Stegostoma tigrinum: one gene and its partners. The protein of the gene in region 2 purifies or fractionates together with the protein of the main gene of each other region. This does not show direct contact. Links are inferred from orthologs where the notes say so. Each region holds a gene or a part of one and is shown on either strand. Other genes may lie near its edges.

Region 1 (7,429 bases), on a different chromosome or scaffold from region 2:
GGAATTGAGTGACTCTTTTCTGTTTAGGATTCCATGATTAGTCATCTGTGTGACTACAAACACCAGCATCAGTATTTTGGCGCACCAGTAATCCTAGTCAAAAATGGGTAGCACTGCCTACCAGTAATTTGTCATGTGAAAGATGGCAGCACATTTTAGAACTTATACCATCGATGAGGTACCAGAATCCATATTACAGCAACTCATTACAGAATTGTGTTTTTGGTGTCTCTACATGCAATGGAAATAACACCACTCAATTGAAATGAGTATATAAAAAAAAGTATCATTACTAGCTCAACTGACAGATGGATTAGCCAGTATCAAAAAGGCATACATTTCCTTACAAGTTTAAAAGTAAATATTTTACAATGCAATATTTTAATTTGAAATTAGTATGCAATTCGACTCAGTTGTTACTTATAAGAAAACATCAGGTAATCAACTATACCACACAGAAAATTTGCATCAATAATGATTATACTGGACTAACGCTTATACATTACACTACCAGTTAGAAAAACCTGATGAAAAGTAATAGCGACAAGTCTATTAACACCTTTTAAGTCCTTTGCAAAATATCACATCATAGGTTTGTTACCTTGAGTTAGTACTTTCTATAAAGTTTAATTCTGCGCAGACCTGACAGATTAGCAAAGCAATAGCTATCAACCTACAGCAAGGTGGTGCCTGAGAACTAACATACACTATTAATTCAAATTTAAGCTTCAGAATGAAAGAACTATGGCCCAAATGAACAAGTATTAGTTACAGTAACTGATACACTTTGGAGTTGGTAAAGACAGTTTATACAAAACATTGAATGCAGTCTGAAAATGGCCATTCACTTGCACATCTTTTTAAGTCTCTTGCTAATAACTTCCAAACCAATATGACCAAGCAATCCTATCTTTAGTTGATCCAGTCACACAGATTGCGCCTTGCCTTCGATCATACAAAAAAGTAGACAGCTGCAGGAAAAAAAATGCCATCTTACCTGTGTAAATAGTCAGGGGCCTGGTTCAACAGTGTGTAATACTGCCTCACAAATTCCCGCCCTACAAGCAGGGGACTTGGCTTCTCCATCACCATCTCTTTGGTCAACTGAGAATTGCTAGACAAGAAAAAAAAAACAAAGTAAACAGGACTATCTTATTATGACTTTGCAAGCTGTCCAGTTCAACTAAGGGGAGTTCAAATGGATCAAGTCAAAACTATCCAAGTACATATTTAAGTTTTGAGGGAAGAATTCAGAAGATTTAACTCAAAAGTCACAAGGGTTGTAAAACATGGTATACTGGTGTTTTATTTGGGTTCTTATAGTGAACCAAGTTTTGTTCTGCATTTGACTATGTCAGGTTGATGTGCTCAACATATCCTGAGCATCCCTTACCCTTTTGCTTACAGCATTCTTACCTGGGTAAACACTTTAAAAAAGTTAAAACTGATACAGCCAGATTAGTAATAAACATCATAACTCTCCAATATGGAGTTCCAATTTTGAAAAATAATTGCAAGTTATGTGGCTCCATCAGAAAATAAAAAGACCAGAGCTCAAAACCGTTGCAGCACTCTGATTTTCTTTTGTTTTCCTCACGCCACAGATTAATTACTGACAGACAGGAACAGGTCTTCTCAGTCTCTAACATCACCACGGACAATCCCACAAATACTAAAAGGGATTGGGGACAGTGGATTTCTAACGTCTTGCGTCAAATTACAACTATCAAACGTTGCAATTTTGCGCTTCACGCACAATCAAAATTAACTTAATTTATAAAGGATTACAATGAGGGCGCCCTCCGCCTGAACCTGCAATCCAAGGAAATGTAAACGGAGAAATTTGGCCACTCCATGTAACAAGGGCGAGGCATTTTCTTGAAAACAAAAGCTAAATGGCAAAAAGAACGGTATTGTTCTCCCCCTCTAATTGATCCACTATTTGCGTAGGATTCGCTCGCACAAGTCGCACGTTTAAGAGAAGACTCCAGCACACTTGAAATAATCTTACGTGACAGGAGAGAAGAGACACGAGTGTTCTCAAATGGGGGGGGGGGGGGGGGGTGTGGATTCGAGCCAGACAATGCCTGGCCCCTGAACACCCTTCCCGCCCTGTGGGATGGACACAAAATATGATCGGATTGCACAGGGCAGGCAGAGGCAAGGCTGAGCTCCATAACACGTGGAACTGTAGGGGACAAGTAAAAGCCTCGAGGTGTTTGGGGGGGGGCGGCTTTAACGACGCGGGAATATCGGATGGCAACCACGTGCGAGCGGGTGGGGGGGTTGATCAAGACACAGAGGCCACTTCGTCGACGATAGACTGAAGGAGGGTCCCAATCCCTTTCTGTTTACCCCCCACTCCCTTACCCGCCACCCGAGACGGGAACAAAGGCCAGACCTACCCCCACCCCCCTCCTTTCTGCCCCCCCCCCCCATCCCCGACAACGACACTACAGGCCACGACCAGACCAACAACCTCTCTCTCCCCCACCCTAAGTCGGCGAGCGGAGTCAGAGAGAAAGAGAGCGCTAGGAGGAAATCACCGGGTCTCACTCTGCAACCCACCCCCCCAACCCTCGTGTCGCTGCCGCCGCGGCCTGGTGTTTAAAATGGCGGCGGCCTGGCCTTCCCTTCCCTCACTGTCTTTTCTCTTCCACACTCTCTCCCACCCCAGGCCCCGCCACCAGCCGCTCAACTCGCTCACCGCAGGAATCCGGGGAGGAGAGAGAGTGTGAGTGAGAAGCGTAGGGGAGGCCGAACCGGGAGCTTCGATCAGGAACAGGAAGGCTGAAACCCTCCTCACCTTTCTCAATCCGCGCAATTGAAATAATTTCTTCTGGGGTTGAAGGGGCGGGGCCGGAATATTTTGGGTGGAAAAAAAATTACAAAAGTACCCGCACCGCCGAGGAGAGCGCCGGCTGAATCACACACCAACCTGCTGGGCAGAGAAGGAAGGTCTGATTGACAGCACCGACCATCAATGGGGGTGGGGGATCCACCCGCCAAGCCAATGGGGTGGTCGGTAAGGGGGCGGGGCCTGCGCCGCCAGCACGTTCGGTGGAGCGGCACCGGCTGCAGGAGCCGCGGGGAGACCCCGTAGAGGGGGCGGTGCGACCCGCCGCACTGACCAATCGCATTGGGAGGTGGTCCTGATCGACAGCTCTGAGGGCGGGTTCTGCCTGTGAAGTCGGTCCCTGCGAAAGGACAGGGTGCAAACCTGGAGGAGTAAGGGGCCAGAGTGGGAATAAAGATAGGGAGCGCTTGGAGCCCCAATGAGTAACATATCTCCCCCACCCCACCAACAGTCGGCGGTGAAATTTGAATTCTGCAAAATCCTGGAATTGTGTTCTCATTCTTCATATTAACATGCATTTTGAAATATATTCAATATAATAATTTAAAGTTTAAAATATTTTCTAAAATTTATTTTTCAATACAGAAAGATCTGTGAAGGCTTTTGAATTGAATGTAGTTATAAAGTCGGGTTGAAGCAGGCGTTAAACTTCACACCCCCCGCCTCCCCAAAAGAAGCCTGCTGTTTGTTTTACATTTCTTAGCTGAGGTGGTTCGTTATGTCACAAAAGCGGTTCATCAGGCAAGCACGGCGTCACCGATGAATCATTTCACACGTAACTCTCAATATTGGACGATTTAACATTGCTGTGTCCGGAGAGTCAAACGTATTTGCTACGATCTCTTCACGTGGGTTAGAAGAGTGATTGATTCTAGAAGGTAATGGGTCATAACCAGTTAGTTTGTTGCCCTGGTGTAGCCTAACATACCGTCTCTGCCAGTTTCAGGTGGGCTCCATGTGTTCGCTTGCTTTAATTTTGTTTTTAGTCTTGAAGGTACTTGCTACTGCTCCCTCCCATTGCTGGCTTTCAGTCCACTGGGTGCTCTATTCATGTTGATCTTTTGTTTAAAAATGGCCATTCTGCCTTTCCAGCATGCTCTCCCATCATTATGATCATTACTGATTTATTACTTCAAATAAACCTTTCTCCATTCTCTCCATATTCTTTAACTTGATTTGTATCCAGAAATCTAGTTAGCTCTTTTGTTTAAGTATAATGAACTACAGACCTTCCACAGTCCCATGACTTAGAAAATTCAAATGTTTAATTTGAAGATTGAGTGAAACTTATCAAATCATCCACGAAATCAAATCATTCCATGAAATTTTGGAATTAGATGCTCAAAAATAATAATTGCTATGATTGTAATAAAAACTAGAGTTATTTTAATCTACATGTGACTTCAGCACCACAGGAATATGGATTGACTGTTAATTGCCCTCTGAAGTGGCTTGCCAATCCACTTGAGAATTTGGAGTGACAGCAACACCCACATCACATGAAAAAATAAAGTATTTCTTTCACCTTTCTTCAGTTTTCTCTGTTCCAGAGTAAAGAGTCCCAACTAAACCATCTTTCCAAAATAACAAAGTGTGGAACTGGATGAACACAGCAGTCCAAGCAGCATCTTAGGAGCACAAAAGCTGACGTTTCGGGCCTAGACCCTTCATCAGAAAAGGGGAGGGGGAGAAGGTTCTGAAAAAAATAGGGAGAGAGGGGAAGGCAGATATAAGATGGATAGAGGAAAAGATAGGTGGAGAGGAGACAGACAAGTTAAAGGGGTGGGGATGGAGCCTGTAGAGGTGAGTGTAGGTGGGGAGGTAGGGAGGGGATAGGTCAGTCCAGGGAGGATGGACAGGTCAAGGGGGTGGGAAGAAGCTAGTAGGTAGGAGATGGGGCTGGGTATTTGGTTCTTTTGCCATTCACCATAAATTTGTCTCCCCTGTTCTCAAACTTCACTGTCCACTCTGTCCAGACCGTTGTGATTTTGAAAAGCTCCAAACATTGTTCACCTAAGGAAAATTTCTCCATCCATCCAAGTGACTGAAATCCGATCCCTGAAACATAATTTTCTTTCTTAAACCGTCTCTGAAATACTCATCTTTATTTATATTCCTGACCTTTCTTCACCTTCATATGATTTACCTCTGAATCATTTACCTTTCTTTATTATCTCTAATTTAGGAGAATAAGTTGACAAACAATAATCTTAGAAGCCCATCAGCTCCAACACGACCTTATAACACAGTGTCCAGAATTGGACAAAATACTTGAGGATGAGCAATTTTTTTCAGAAATATTCATCATAACTTCCTTCCAAATGAATGGATATGGAGAAAATGTTTCCACTCATAGGAGTGACATAAAGACACTAGAACAACGTCAGAGTGAACTGAGGTGAGGAGGAATTTCTTCAGCCAGAGCATGGCTAATCTGTGAAACCCATTGCCGCACAGGGCTGTGGAGGCCACTCATTGAGTGTATTTAAGGCAGCCATAGATAGGTTCCTGGTTGGTAAGAGAATCAAGGGTTACAGGGAGAATATGTATGAATGGAATTGAGAAACATTCCAGCCATAAACAAATGCTGGAGCAGAATTAATGGGCTGATAGGTCTAATTATGCTGTAATATCTTATGGTCTTATCATCTCTTTGCCTTATTAAGAACAGCAACAATTTTCTAAATACTTTAGCTGTGGCCTAATTCTTGTTTTATAAAGAACAGGCCCCATATGGAAAGATTGTTTAGATAGGATTCTTTACTCTGGAACAATCAATACTCTCGTGGTAGTCAACTTATCACCAATTCTTTTTTTACCAAAGTAAGTGTGCAATAAAATCCCTCAAATAATAAAATTTCTTTTTATGTTCGATGTCTATCCATGTTAATGCCTGAACATTTTGATGTACATCAGTCTTTTCTATTGTAATAAAAACAGAAAATGGTAGAAATACACAGCAGGTCAGACATGAAATAGGATAGGAAAACAGAGTTAAGAGAAATTTTATTCCTCAATTTAGATGGGTTGGGGCAAGGTGAAATGTAGTGATTTTGATTTTGCCAGACTATATTGCTGCCACAGTGGGTTTTGCCATGGTTAATGGAAACCCATTTGGTTCTGGAGAGAAACATATTTTCCAGGATTTGGGAAGCTGACCGGAGGAACAGGCAATTTTAAGCAGTCATTCAGGATGGAATTTAAACTTGTCATTTTTCCATCTGAATAAATGTTTAATTACTGCAGCTGGTCTATCAGTTCTACCTAGCAACCCTTGGCAGAAAGTTCTTGTTATGATACAGCTTTTCTCAACCTTTGAAGATTTTAAATTGGAAAGACATCTTGGGTGTGTTTGACAGAAAACTATATTGGAAGATGAAAGTAGGAGGAGATGAAAGTACAGCATTGAGTGTTCACTTCCTCATTGATAAGCACCCAGGAAAGCAGATTGATGTCATGACTAAACAATCCCTTCAGAATTGTGTGTGTCCAGGGATGATCTGATGGAATATGAATGTTGTTATTGCAAATTTGAATAAAGGAACCTGAATTTGACCCTAACAGGGAAGGGAAGAGTGAGAGCACAAATGTGGGATTGTGGAATGAACTTAATAGAGGGCCTCTTTCACATATAGTGAAAGGGAATCCTTGTTAGATGAGAAAGGAAGCCATATCAGCAGGATTGGATGTAATTTGGTATCAGCAGAACAAATGCAATGGAGTCAGAAAAACTAAGAAAATTAAATAGAGTTCTTAAAGGAACCAGGGTGAACTAGTGGAGGAAGTATAATCAAGCTAGCTATAACAGCCAGCAAAAACGACCAAAGAACTATGAATGCTAGAAATCAGAAAGCCACCATCCAAGCGGATAGAGTTGTTAAGAAGGTGTATGTTGTGGTAGCTTTCATTAATAGAGGGATGGAGTTCAAGAGCCGTGAAGTTATGCTCCAGTTATACAAAAGCATGTTCGGCCACACCTAGAGTACAGTTCTGGTCGCCTCACTACAGGAAAGATGTTGGAAGCATTGGAAAAGGTGCAGAGGAGATTTACCAGGATGTTGCCCGTGGAATGGAGAGAAGGTCTTACGAGGAAAGGTTGAAAGAGCTAGGGCTTTTCTCTTTAGAACGGTGAAGGATGAGAGGTGACTTGAAAATGATCAGAGGTATAGATAGAGTGGACAGCCAGAGACAATTTACTTGGGTGGAGGTAGCTATTACGAGAGGGGATATTTTTATAGTGAGTGGAGGTAGACATAGGGGAGACATCACAGGTAGGTTCTTTACTCAGAGAGTGGTTAGGGCGTGGAGAGAGTAGTGGAGTCAGCCTCATTAGGGCCATGTAAGTAGCTATTTGAGAGGCATATGGATGATAGTATCATACAGGGGTGGAGGTTCGATAGACCTTAGGATTAGGTTAAAAGTTCAGCACATCGTGGGCCAAATGGCCTGTAATGTGCTGTATTGTTTTATGTTCTAAAACAGAAATTGCCAGCAAAACTCAGCAGGTGTGGCAACATCTGTGAAAACAAAGCAGAGTTAATGTTTTGGGTCCAGTGACCCTTCTTCCAAAGA
Region 2 (6,942 bases):
GTTCGTCCCCCCTCACCCCACAGTCCTCCTCGTTCGTCCCCCCTCACCCCACAGTCCCCCTTGTTCGCCCCCCGCCCCGCGACCCCACAGTCCCCCTTGTTCGTCTCCCCTCACCCCACAGTCCTCCTCGTTCGTCCCCCCTCACCCCACAGTCCCCCTCGTTCGCCCCCCCCGCGACCCCACAGTCCCCCTCGTTCGCCCCCCCCGCGACCCCACAGTCCCCCTCGTTCGCCCCCCCCCCCGCGACCCCACAGTCCCCCTCGTTCGCCCCCCCCCTCACTCCACAGTCCCCCTCGTTCGCCCCCCCCTCACCCCACAGTCCCCCTCGTTCGCCCCCCCCGCGACCCCACAGTCCCCCTTGTTCGTCCCCCCTCACCCCACAGTCCTCCTCGTTCGTCCCCCCTCACCCCACAGTCCCCCTTGTTCGCCCCCCGCCCCGCGACCCCACAGTCCCCCTCGTTCGCCCCCCCTCACTCCACAGTCCCCCTCGTTCGCCCCCCCTCACTCCACAGTCCCCCTCGTTCGCCCCCCCTCACTCCACAGTCCCCCTCGTTCGCCCCCCCTCACTCCACAGTCCCCCTCGTTCGCCCCCCCCCGCGACCCCACAGTCCCCCTTGTTCGTCCCCCCTCACCCCACAGTCCTCCTCGTTCGTCCCCCCTCACCCCACAGTCCTCCTCGTTCGTCCCCCCTCACCCCACAGTCCCCCTCGTTCGCCCCCCGCCCCGCGACCCCACAGTCCCCCTCGTTCGTCCCCCCTCATCCCACAGTCCTCCTCGTTCGTCCCCCCTCACCCCACAGTCCCCCTCGTTCGTCCCCCCTCACCCCACAGTCCTCCTCGTTCGTCCCCCCTCACCCCACAGTCCTCCTCGTTCGTCCCCCCTCACCCCACAGTCCTCCTCGTTCGTCCCCCCTCACCCCACAGTCCCCCTCGTTCGTCCCCCCTCACCCCACAGTCCCCCTCGTTCGTCCCCCGCCCCGCGACCCCACAGTCCCCCTCGTTCGTCCCCCCTCACCCCACAGTCCCCCTCGTTCGCCCCCCCTCACTCCACAGTCCCCCTCGTTCGCCCCCCCTCACTCCACAGTCCCCCTCGTTCGCCCCCCCTCACCCCACAGTCCCCCTCGTTCGCCCCCCGCCCCGCGACCCCACAGTCCCCCTCGTTCGCCCCCCCTCACCCCACAGTCCCCCTCGTTCGCCCCCCGCCCCGCCACCCCACAGTCCCCCTCGTTCGCCCCCCGCCCCGCCACCCCACAGTCCCCCTCGTTCGCCCCCCGCCCCGCCACCCCACAGTCCCCCTCGTTCGCCCCCCGCCCCGCCACCCCACAGTCCCCCTCGTTCGCGCCCCGCCACCCCACAGTCCCCCTCGTTCGCCCCCCGCCACCCCACAGTCCCCCTCGTTCGCCCCCCCTCACCCCACAGTCCCCCTCGTTCGCCCCCCCTCACCCCACAGTCCCCCTCGTTCGCCCCCCCTCACCCCACAGTCCCCCTCGTTCGCCCCCCCTCACCCCACAGTCCCCCTCGTTCGCCCCCCCTCACCCCACAGTCCCCCTCGTTCGCCCCCCCTCACCCCACAGTCCCCCTCGTTCGCCCCCCCTCACCCCACAGTCCCCCTCGTTCGCCCCCCCTCACCCCACAGTCCCCCTCGTTCGCCCCCCCTCACCCCACAGTCCCCCTCGTTCGCCCCCCCTCACCCCACAGTCCCCCTCGTTCGCCCCCCCTCACCCCACAGTCCCCCTCGTTCGCCCCCCCTCACCCCACAGTCCCCCTCGTTCGCCCCCCCTCACCCCACAGTCCCCCTCGTTCGCCCCCCCTCACCCCACAGTCCCCCTCGTTCGCCCCCCCTCACCCCACAGTCCCCCTCGTTCGCCCCCCCTCACCCCACAGTCCCCCTCGTTCGCCCCCCCTCACCCCACAGTCCCCCTCGTTCGCCCCCCCCTCACTCCACAGTCCCCCTCGTTCGCCCCCCCTCACTCCACAGTCCCCCTCGTTCGCCCCCCCCTCACTCCACAGTCCCCCTCGTTCGCCCCCCCTCACTCCACAGTCCCCCTCGTTCGCCCCCCCCTCACTCCACAGTCCCCCTCGTTCGCCCCCCCCCCCGCGACTCCACAGTCCCCCTCGTTCGCCCCCCCCTCACTCCACAGTCCCCCTCGTTCGCCCCCCCCCCCCGCGACCCCACAGTCCTCCTCGTTCGCCCCCCCCCCCCCCGCGACCCCACAGTCCCCCTTGTTCGCCCCCCCTCACCCCACAGTCCCCTTGGCCACTCCACCTCCCCAGGTGTCGCCTTGTTTAACCCCTCCCCCCCCACCCCACCTCCTGCTGCCTTCGGGCCTCCTCCATTCTCTGGGTGTCACAGCCGCGGTGATCCAGGAGGCAGGCGGCGCAGATGCAGCTGCTGTGGGGGCGACAGTAGAATTCGAGCAGGTTGCCATGGCTGGGGCAGAGGCGCTCGGCCAGGTCAGCCAGCGGGGGCTGCAGGTTGTGGGTGCGGAAGGCCGCGCTCTGTTGGTGCGGCTCCAGGTGCTCAGCGCAGAAGGAGGCCAGGCAAGTCAGGCAGCTGCGGACCGCCAAGGCCCCGGCTCCGGGAGGACACGCATCGCAGGCCACGGCAGGCGGCGGCTCGGCCTCAGCGACCTGGGTCTTGGGCTCGGCCTGGGCCCGGCTCCGCTCGAACTCCTCGACCACGGCGCACAGGACACGGTTGGGCTGCAGCTCGGGCCTCTCGGAGAAGTGACGGCGGCACTGCGGGCAGGTGAAGCCGAGGAGGTGGTGCCGGTCCCCGGCCCAGAACTGCGCCAGGCAGCTCCGGCAGAAATTGTGGCCGCACGGCGCCGTCACCGGCTCCCGGAACAGGTCCAGGCAAACGGCACACGTCAGCTCAGCCTCCAGGCGCTCCGTCTCCCCAGACACCACCGCCATCGCCGCCGCTGCGGACAACGCGGCACGAGCTCTGGGCACGTGACCCGTGGCGGGGTTTCCGCGGGCACGTGACCCGCGGCGGGTTTCCGCGGCGGCGGGCACGTGACGGCTCCGACCCCGCCCCCTGGGCGTTCCGCCCATCCTGGCCCCACCCCCTCCGTGTATCCCTTCCTGCCCGACCCCCCACCTGCACCCGCAGGAAGTGCTACAGCTCCTCCCTCACCCCCATCCCAGAAGAAGGGCTGTTGGATTTGAAACACTTTCTCTCCCAAGATGCTTCCAGATCTGCCGAATTCCTCCAGCAATATTGAGGTTTGACTGTGAGACTGCTGTGTCACTGGAGATCGCTCATGATATCTGCACCACAGTCAGTTCTAATGAAGAGTCACTGACTTTCTTCCCATAGATGCTGCCAGACTTGCTGGGTTTCGCCAGCAATTTCAGATTGCCAGCATTTGTAGTTCTTTGTTTTATTACAAGGAAACAGTTGTTTGAGGAACAAAAACAGAAGTTGCTGGAAAAGCTCAGCAGGTCTGGCAGCATCTGTGAAGGAGAAAACAGTTAACGTTTGCGGTCCAGTGACCCCTAACTCTGTTTTCTCCTTCACAGATTCTTTATCTAGGATCTATGCAATGATCAAAGATACCCCACTACTCAGTATTTTCAACAGAAGTTACTTAACAAGATGATTTGTTTCATACCGCATTAAGTACAGCTACATTCTAGTCAGGCATAAATCTTTGGATAATAAAATGTGAGGCTGGATGAACACAGCAGGCCCAGCAGCATCCCGGGAGCACAAAAGCTGACGTTTCGGGCCTAGACCCTTCATCAGAGAGGGGGATGGGGTGAGGGTTCTGGAATAAATAGGGAGAAGGGGGAGGCGGACTGAAGATGGAGAGAAAAGAAGATAGGTGGAGAGGAGAGTATAGGTGGGGAGGTAGGGAGGGGATAGGTCAGTCCAGGGAAGACGGACCGGTCAAGGAGGTGGGATGAGGTTAGTAGGTAGGAGATGGAGGTGCGGCTTGGGGTGGGAGGAAGGGATGGGTGAGAGGAAGAACAGGTTAGGGAGGCGGAGACAGGCTGGACTGGTTTTGGGATGCAGTGGGTGGAGGGGAAGAGCTGGGCTGGTTGTGTGGTGCAGTGGGGGGAGGGGATGAACTGGGCTGGTTTTGGGATGCGGTGGGGGAAGGGGAGATTTTGAAGCTGGTGAAGTCCACATTGATACCATTGGGCTGCAGGGTTCCCAAGCGGAATTTGAGTTGCTGTTCCTGCAACCTTCGGGTGGCATCATTGAGGCACTGCAGGAGGCCCATGATGGACATGTCATCTAAAGAATGGGAGGGGGAGTGGAAATGGTTTGCGACTGGGAGGTGCAGTTGTTTATTGCGAACCGAGCGGAGGTGTTCTGCGGAGCGGTCCCCAAGCCTCCGCTTGGTTTCCCCAATGTAGAGGAAGCCACACCGGGTACAGTGGATACAGTATACCACATTGGCAGATGTGCAGGTGAACCTCTGCTTAATATGGAAAGTCATCTTGGGGCCTGGGATAGGGGTGAGGGAGCAGGTGTGCGGGCAAGTGTAGCATTTCCTGCGGTTGCAGGGGAAAGTGCTGGATGTGGTGGGGTTGGAGGGCAGTGTGGAGCGAACAAGGGAGTCACGGAGAGAGTGGTCTCTCCGGAAAGCAGACAGGGGTGGGGATGGAAAAATGTCTTGGGTGGTGGGGTCGGATTGTAAATGGCGGAAGTGTCGGAGGATGATGCGTTGTATCCGGAGGTTGGTAGGGTGGTGTGTGAGAACGAGGGGGATCCTCTTTGGGCGGTTGTGGCGGGGGCGGGGTGTGAGGGATGTGTTGCAGGAAATGCGGGAGATGTGGTCAAGGGCGTTCTCGACCACTGTGGGGGGAAAGTTGCGGTCCTTAAAGAACTTGCACATCTGGGATGTGCGGGAGTGGAATGCCTCATCGTGGGAGCAGATGCGGCGGAGGCGGAGGAATTGGGAATAGGGGATGGAATTTTTGCAGGAGGGTGGGTGGGAGGAGGTGTATTCTAGGTAGCTGTGGGAGTCGGTGGGCTTGAAATGGACATCGGTTACAAGCTGGTTGCCTGAGATGGAGACTGAGAGGAGCTGTGTTGTGCACCTCTGCTGTTCACCAAGGCTGGTGTAGAACTCACTGTCTCCACCTCCAGACTGTGCAACATGTTCAGAATTTTGATCTGTCTGTATAGCACACAAAGAAACACTTTTCACAGTTCTGAGGAAGGGTCACCGCACCCAAAATATTAGGTCTGACATTTTCTTCACAGATGCTGCCAGACCGGCTGAGCTTTTCCAGAAACTTCTGTTTTTGTTCCTGCTTTTCGCCGTCTCATGTGACAACAATAAACCAAACACAAACATTAACTCAGAGATAATGGGAACTGCAGATGCTGGAGAATCCAAGATAACCAAGTGTGAGGCTGGATGAACACAGCAGGCCAAGTGGCATCTCAGGAGCACAAAAGCTGACGTTTCAGGCCTAGACCCTTCATCAGAGAGGGGGATGGGGAGAGGGTTCTGGAATAAATAGGGAGAGAGGGGGAGGCGGACCGAAGATGGAGAGAAAAGAAGATAGGTGGAGAGGAGAGTATAGGTAGGGAGGGGATAGGTCAGTCCAGGGAAGACGGACAGGTCAAGGCGGTGGGATGAGGTTAGTAGGTAGGAAATGGAGGTGCGGCTTGAGGTGGGAGGAAGGGATAGGTGAGAGGAAGAACAGGTTAGGGAGGCGGGGACACCCTCTCCCCATCCCCCTCTCTGATGAAGGGTCTCGGCCCGAAACATCAGCTTTTGTGCTCCTGAGATGCTGCTTGGCCTGCTGTGTTCATCCAGCTCCACACTTGGTTATCTTACAAACATTAATTCATTTGGTACACATGGCAGCAAACAAAATCAGTTCGCACCAAAATTCATTCTCAGTGCAGAATACATTAAAAAAAAATTAATCTTGCTTGGCTCCTGGAGCTCCTCAGGTGATTTGTGATCAGCGTGAGCTCACTAAGTGACCAATTACTGGCACCACCCAAAAAATTACACAATGCATGTATTAGGAGATGAACTCCTGAACATCAGCTGGTATTTTGTTATGAAAGCAGGTGGAGATTATGACACATTACTGTGGTTTACTCTGAATCATTGTTACGTCAATTCAGCCCCTTGGACCTGCGCATCTTTCAATATATTCATGGCTGATCTCATGTCAGCTTCAGCTCCACTGCTCCTGATAACCCTTAACCTATTATTAATTAAAAATCTGTGTATTTGCTCCTTAAATTTATTCAAAATCTAAAATTATCAACAATAATTTTTCTGCTGACACACCATCCCTGTACGCTGGAACAGACTTATTGCAGTCGTTTCTAATTAATCAGTTTTATCAAGGTAGGATCAAAGCAGTTTGTTTCTCTAAACTGTAGACCTGTAACTGTTGATTGAGGCCTTCACAAATTTTGTAAAATACCACTTTTTTTAAACATAATTTGTGGAACTGCATCTGGTCTACTTCTGTCAAAAAACTAATTTCTTGTCCAATGTTGAGCTTCTGGTAGAGTTGGTCATTGCCCATGATAATGCTAACTACTCTTCACTGTAACTTGAAAATGACCAATTCCTTGAAATCTTAATTGAGCCTCTAGCACCTGCACACTCCAAACAACAATGTCTGTTGTGGTATTTTGCATCCAGATTTACTGATCTATTGCTTTGGACACCTTAAACCAGCAGATTGGCATCAAAACACATTGGAAAGGTGGCACATAAATTGATAGCACAGGTCAAGTCCATTTTGGCCTTGGGTAAACCGTAATACACTGACTGACCATTGGGTCCCTGGTGAACCACAAGGAGATACCTGGCCAATGTGTCCCTCTGGAATCTCCCACCTTTTTGGACTAGGAGAACAGAATGTGGACAGTTTGCACCATCTCAAAAAAAAAGTCAAACTGTTTGCAATAAGGAGCAGACAGGACATTACAAAAATGTAGAGACGATGG
Region 3 (6,999 bases), on a different chromosome or scaffold from region 2:
TTACTAACCCATCCTTCTACGCCCTCATCCAGGTCATTTATAAAAATGACAAACAGCAGTGGACCCAACACCGACCCTTGCAGTACACCACTAGTAACTGGTCTCCAGGATGAACATTTCCCATCAACTACCACCCTCTTTACCCATAGCATTCAACGAAGAGAAATAGATCCTCCTGTTGCAAGACCGGCAGGTCACATTTTATTCTTGTGAAATAAATTGACCCCCTTTTTGGAAGGATTTTTTGAAGCTACAAAGTCCAATTTACACGCTGTCATCTATGATAATGGAACATAGATCTTGACAGTACTCATTTTAATTTTGTTAATGATATAATAACGTTCCTCTTCAAAAATTAGGGAACGATACCGTCTGAAAACAAGATTCTTTTCTACACACGCTGTCACAATTGATGCCTTTCCTCATTTCCAAGAAACATGCATGGCCTTTGAAACAGGTGTTTAAAAAGAATTGAAGTAACCAGTTTTGTGGCCCAGCACATTGTTACCTGAATAGGTCATGGAAACAGGTCATTTTTCTACTATGAAAGTATAGTTTCTAATATATTTCAGTATTTTTATTGGTTTTCCAGAAAATGAATGCCTGAATACACCCTATCTTTCACCTTTCTCTATCTCCCTTTCTCTTTCTCTCACTCACCCTGTTTCTTTCACTTATTTCCAATTCTGGCTTTTTTATTTCGCTTGGCAGTACAAAGAAATTTTCTTTATGATCCAGATATATGTGCCGAAATGTTTATGATATACACCAAATGGCAATTTTGGGGAATGTGGAGATCAGAGTTCTAGACAACCTTCATTTTCTCAAATGACTAAATGAGTCCATTTCTTTTGAGTAGAACTTTATCACTGTTACTATCAGCTGGAATTTCTGCCTAATATGAATATTGGATGGCTTATTATGTGTTCTACATTTTGCAAATCACAATGCAATTTCAATGATACCCAGCTGCATTCTAACTGCAACTAATATGAACAACTTCTTCATATTTTGTTTTAAAATGTATAAGCTCTTATCTACAATAACACTCAACACTGAAGCCCCACACCCCCGCCCCGACCCGGGATGCAGCCTCAGCCCTCTACTGTGCTCCCTGTACACCTACAACTGTGTTGCCAAATTCCAAATAAAATTCCCTTCTACAAGTTCACTGATGACATCAGTCAACTGGGACGCATATCTAACAACAACGAGTCAAAATGCAGAAGGGAGACAGACCTCTTGGTGACGTGATGAAAACAATCTGTCTTTCAATGTCTGCAAAACTAAAGAACTGATCATCAACTTCAGAAAGAAGGAACGAGAAGTTCCTCGGAGTCACAAAAACCGATAACCTGTCCTGGACCTCCTACATAGATGCGACAGTCAGAAAGGCACAAGAACGCCTCTTCTTCCACAAGCGGTCAGGAAATTTGACATGTCCATAATGTCCCTCACCAACTTCTACAGATGCGACACTGAAAGCATCTTGTCTGGGTGCAACTGCTCTACCCAGGACCATAACAAACTACAGAAGGTGGATGTGCACAGCTCAGCCCATCATGGAAGCCAATCTTCCATCCATTTACACGGCTCACTGCTGCAGAAAGGCGACCAACGTCATCAAAGACCCATCACAGCCCAGTAATGATCTCCTACAGCCTCTTCTGTCAGGCAGAAGATACAGAAGCCTGAACACGCGCAGAAGCAGATTCAGAAACAGCTTATTTCTTTACCAGACTGTTGAATGGACTTTCGACTCAAATAAAGTAGCCCGTATGCCTCTAAGTCTTGTTAATCTCTACATCCTTTGCTTGGTGTGATCTGCCTGTACCGGTCTTAATTAGAACTTTTCAGTGTACTTTGGTACATGTGACAATAAATCAATCAATCAAATAAAAGTCTCTCTAAGTCCTTTTGTACTTTGATTCGTCTTCGTTAGATATCTATCCCACTATGGTGTGTTGTCAGCAAAATTGTAGATGGTGTTCGTTCAAAATTTGCAACGCAGCTGTAGGTGTACAGGGTTAAGACCAGTTAAGCGTTTATGTTCCAACCCTCTTGAGATAAACGATAACACTACATTCACTTTCTTAATCACGGACTCTACCTGCAAGTTAACTTTTATAGAATCCTGGACCAACACTCCCAGATCCCTTTGTACTTCTGCTTTGTGAATTTTCTCACCGTTTAGAAAATAGTCCATGCCTGTATTCTTTTTTCCAAAGTGTAAAATCTCACATTTGCTCACATTGAATTTCATCAGCCATTTCCGGGACCACTCTCCTAAACTATCTAAATCTTTCTGCAGCCTCCCCACCTCCTCAGTACTATCTGCCTGTCCACCTATCTTTGTATCATCAGCAAACTTCGCCAGAATGCCCCCAGACCCTTCATCCAGATCATTAATATATAAAGTGAACAGCTGTGGCCCCAACACTGAACTCTGCGGGACATCACTTGTCACTGGTTGCCATTCCAAAAAAGAGACTTTTATCCCAACTCTGCCTTCTGTCAGACAGCCAATCGTCAATCCAAGCCAGCAGCTCACCTCGAACACCATGGGCCCTCACCTTACTCAGCAGCCTCCCGTCAGGCACCTTATCAAAGGCCTTTTGGAAGTCTAGATAGATAACATCCACTGGGTTTCCCTGGTCTAACCTACTTGTTACCTCTTCAAAGAATTTGAGTGATATTGAGTGGAGTGTTATTGTGGAGGAGGTGCAGTTACCAACCTCACTGATTGTGGGCCAGAGGGCGGGACCGCGGTCAAGGTCACACAGTTTTGGTCAGAAGTTACACGACACCAGGTTATAGTTAAACAGGTTAACTCCAGAACACGAAATAAATCTGTTGGGCTCCAAGCTGGTGTCACGTGGCTTCTGGCCTCGGCCAGTCCAACACGAGCACCTCCACAGGTGAAGGTTTGCGATCAGCCCGGAGGGAGAACGATGTTGAAGGTGGAGTCAGCAGGGGCCTGGGGTAAGTGAGCTCACTGAATGGCGGGACAGGCTCAATGGGCCGAGCGGCCTCCGCCAACCTCTGATTTTTTTTGTTTGGTCCAGAACTGCGCCTCCCATAAAGGGGCCAAAAGGATCCTCCTGGCTCCGTCCCCGCCTCACACTAAAACTATCCCAGTGCCGAAGGGCCTGAAACCGACAAAACCGCTCAGCCCCGCCCCTCAGGTTAAACATTTACCGGGGGGGGGGGCAGGTTAGAGTGTGACACCCGGGGGGGGGGCAGGTTAGAGTGTGACATCCGGGGGCAGGTTAGAGTGTGACATCCGGGGGCAGGTTAGAGTGTGGCACCCGGGGGGGGCAGGTTAGAGTGTGACACCCGGGGGGGGGCAGGTTAGAGTGTGACACCCGGGGGCAGGTTAGAGTGTGACATCCGGGGGCAGGTTAGAGTGTGACACCCGGGGGGGGGCAGGTTAGAGTGTGACATCCGGGGGCAGGTTAGAGTGTGGCACCCGGGGGGGGCAGGTTAGAGTGTGACACCCGGGGGGGGGCAGGTTAGAGTGTGACACCCGGGGGGGGGCTGGTTAGAGTGTGACATCCGGGGGCAGGTTAGAGTGTGACACCCGGGGGCTGGTTAGAGTGTGACATCCGGGGGCAGGTTAGAGTGTGGCACCCGGGGGGGGCTAGTTAGAGTGTGACATCCGGGGGCAGGTTAGAGTGTGACACCCGGGGGCTGGTTAGAGTGTGACACCCGGGGGGGCAGGTTAGAGTGTGGCACCCGGGGGGGCTGGTTAGAGTGTGACACCCGGGGGCCGGTTAGAGTGTGACACCCGGGGGCTGGTTAGAGTGTGACACCCGGGGGCTGGTTAGAGTGTGACATCCGGGGGCAGGTTAGAGTGTGACACCCGGGGGGGCTGGTTAGAGTGTGACACCCGGGGGGTGTAAGAGGAAATCCCATCGTGTGAGACACGCGGGAGCAAGGGGCAGAGGGGACCGGATGTAGTGTGACGCTGCGGGGAAGCGGATAGAATGTGACTTTGGAGGAGGCGGTTTGGGGGTGGGGGGGACCGGTTAGAGTGTGACGCCGCGCTGCCGGACACTTCCTCCTGACGCACACGCGGTAACGGCCGAGCTCGGAGCCGCCGCCTCTTTCCCGGAGCCGGAGCCGCAGGTACCGGGGGCGCGGGAGGGAAACCGGCCGGAACCTTCCGGCTCTCGCCTCTGCGCGAATCTGCCCGCTCCCTGCATTGATCTAGCGCCCAGAGCCTGAGCAAAACCTTCCCCCGAATCATCCGTTCCTCCCCCCCCCCCCAGCTTCAACCCCCCCCACCCCCCCCGCTTCAACCCCCCCACCCCCCCCGCTTCATCCCCCCCACCCCCCCGCTTCATCCCCCCCACCCCCCCCGCTTCATCCCCCCCCCACCCCCCCCAGCTTCAACCCCCCCCCAGCTTCAACCCCCCCCACCCCCCAGCTTCATCCCCCCCACCCCCCCGCTTCATCCCCCCCCCACCCCCCCCGCTTCATCCCCCCCTCCCCCCTGCTTCAACCCCCCCCCCACCCCCCCCAGCTTCAACCCCCCCCCAGCTTCAACCCCCCCCACCCCCCAGCTTCAACCCCCCCCAGCTTCAACCCCCCCCCCACCCCCCCCAGCTTCAACCCCCCCCAGCTTCAACCCCCCCCAGCTTCAACCCCCCCCCGCCCCCCAGCTTCAACCCCCCCTCCGCTTCACCCCCCCCACTCTACATCCCCCACACCCAACACTCCCCACCCCCCTTTCACACCTCCACCCCCACTTCACAACCCCCACTCCATTCCTGCCCTCCTCTCCAGTCTTACCCCCCCCCCTCCCAGACTCTCCAGTACCCCCCCCCCCCCCCCCCCCCCCCCCCCGGAGATCCTGAACGGTCTTGGCGGATTGTATGTGGAAAGGATGTTTCCTTTTCTGGGATTATCCTAAACTAGATTGAAAATGAACAACTTGTCATTTAAAACAGACAAGGTGTAGCTGTCAGAGTAACTCCCTTCCTGAGGTGGTGGTGGAAACAGCCTTTAAATACATTGAAGGCAGAGGTGGAAAGGTGAGGAGTAAAAGGTTTTTAGGTTTAGGCAGGAATGTGGAGTAATCAGATCTGCCACAATCCTGTTGAGAGGCCAAGTGGCCGCCTCCTATTTCAATGTTCGTAGAGTCATAGAGATATACAGCATGGAAACAGACCCTTCAGTCCAGTTCGTCCATGCTGACCAAGTTTCCTAAATTAATCTAACCCCGTTTGCCATGAGCTGCCAGAGGAAGTGCTGGAGGCTCATATAATTACAATAGTGTGCTTTACAAGCTTTGATGGAGGCATGGAAAGGGAACAAGAAATTATCAGGCCATAAGGAAAGAATGCCAAAATGTAATTAATTGGAGAACTCCTAAAGGAAAATGGTGCCTTGCATAAAGTCTGATTCTTTATATACTTTGAAGGGTGTAATTTCATTAGAGGCTGTTTGTAGGAGGCTCACCACATTAATTCCAAAAATGAGGGGTTTGTTTTATGGAGAGAGATTGAGCAGTTTAGAAGAATGAGAGATGATCTAATTGAGGTTTACAAGATGCTACAGTGGGTTGACAAAGTAGACAGAGCAGATGTTGTGGTGCATTGGAGAATGAGAGGTCATAGTTTTGAGACTACAGGGTGGCACATTTAAAACAGATGAGAAATTACTTCCCCAAAGAACTGTCAAATCTGTGGAATTCACTACTCCAGAGTGAGGTGGACACCAGGACACTAAATAGTTTTGAGGAGATGGACAGATTTTTGATTAGTACTGGGTCAAAGAGTTACATAGAGCTGGCAGGGAAGGCCAAGATGAGCTCAGCCATGATTGTATTGATTGGCAGAACAGGCTCGAGAGGCTAAATGGCCTACTCCTGCACCTAGTTCTTATGAAATAAAAGTTGTGTGGGAGATTAGTGTGAAACAGCAATGCATTTCCTTGGATGGTATATCCAGGAAAAAAATCCTGTTTTTGACCAGTTTTTATTATCTGAATAAGGTCCTTTGCACTGGATGTAAATGTTTTACTACATTTACAATGCAACACAAATGTTGAATGTTTCTCTCCTTCAGACTGCTAATGCTGAGGTACTCACTTCTCTCTCAGTCACAGCAGTGAAAAGTAAAAAAGCTCTTAGTGATGTTATTATTTCCATAAATTTATAAGCAAGGGTAAATTTATTTGCTGAAGTAATGGAGCTATACTCAACCCTACTCAGTAATCAGATTAAAATAATTTAAACATTGCAACTTATTTCAAAATGATCGGGTAACATGTTTGACCAAGGCTTCCAATGAGTTGACCACATTTTGTTCAAGTTTACTAACTGTTTTCTGAGAGTGTGTTTTAAACCCTAGCTTTAAGATCGGGGCTTCACTGACAGAATGAGATCACCGATGTGCACCCTCTTGGTGTGTTGTTAGTCAGGAGGTAAAACGCAAGCATATTCATGTATGTATATTCTTCACGTACGTGGACACGTTCAAAATTGATGTCCTGCTCTATGGTTCAGTTGATATAATCTGCTCTTTCCTTGCATCATTTCGTTTTGACGGTACATGTTGCCATGTTGTCAAAAAGCTATCTTTATGGACTGAAGTCATGGAAGGTGTTGGAATAAAGTGTGAGAAAGGTTGTTGCTAAAATACAAATATTTAGCTCAGAGGACCTATAATTCAAAGTTTCATAACTGAAATGATTCAAAATTGTGTATGACCGCAGTACCACATTGTTCATTAATTCATATTAGATTGTTTTTGAATTCAAAAACAATCTAATTTAGATTTGCCCTTTGAGAAATTGCAGTGTTGCTGGGGGCTGCATAGTTGTGACATTTATGTTCCCGTTTCGTGGTTTACATGATACAAGTTGGACATTTGTATCGTACTTGCTCGCTTACTTCATTTCTAATGTCTTTTTGGGCTGGTTGTCAGGTGAGAGTGGGAGAATGTAGTGGTGATTATTTATGCTTATTTGACACTAGCGTTTATCTAACAGAGT

Evidence for each region.
Region 1: the proteins of trim25 (region 2) and g3bp1 purify together in Homo sapiens (affinity purification with mass spectrometry; 4 studies listed by BioGRID and IntAct, with this or other methods). This does not show direct contact. The link is inferred for Stegostoma tigrinum from reciprocal best matches to the Homo sapiens genes TRIM25 and G3BP1.
Region 3: the proteins of trim25 (region 2) and g3bp2a purify together in Homo sapiens (affinity purification with mass spectrometry; 4 studies listed by BioGRID and IntAct, counting the BioPlex papers as one, with this or other methods). This does not show direct contact. The link is inferred for Stegostoma tigrinum from reciprocal best matches to the Homo sapiens genes TRIM25 and G3BP2.

What each region holds. Positions count from the first base shown.
Region 1 is NC_081366.1:16,882,528-16,889,956, reverse strand, and holds the start of g3bp1 (ras GTPase-activating protein-binding protein 1), read right to left. Parts: upstream 3,055-7,429; 5' UTR 2,939-3,054; exon of another isoform or gene 2,708-2,938; intron 1,115-2,707; 5' UTR 1,093-1,114; coding exon 998-1,092; intron 1-997. UniProt on the Homo sapiens protein: Protein involved in various processes, such as stress granule formation and innate immunity. Plays an essential role in stress granule formation.
Region 2 is NC_081375.1:3,342,137-3,349,078, reverse strand, and holds the start of trim25 (E3 ubiquitin/ISG15 ligase TRIM25), read right to left. Parts: upstream 3,038-6,942; 5' UTR 2,916-3,037; coding exon 2,310-2,915; intron 1-2,309.
Region 3 is NC_081354.1:2,800,161-2,807,159, forward strand, and holds the start of g3bp2a (ras GTPase-activating protein-binding protein 2), read left to right. Parts: upstream 1-3,984; 5' UTR 3,985-4,128; intron 4,129-6,999.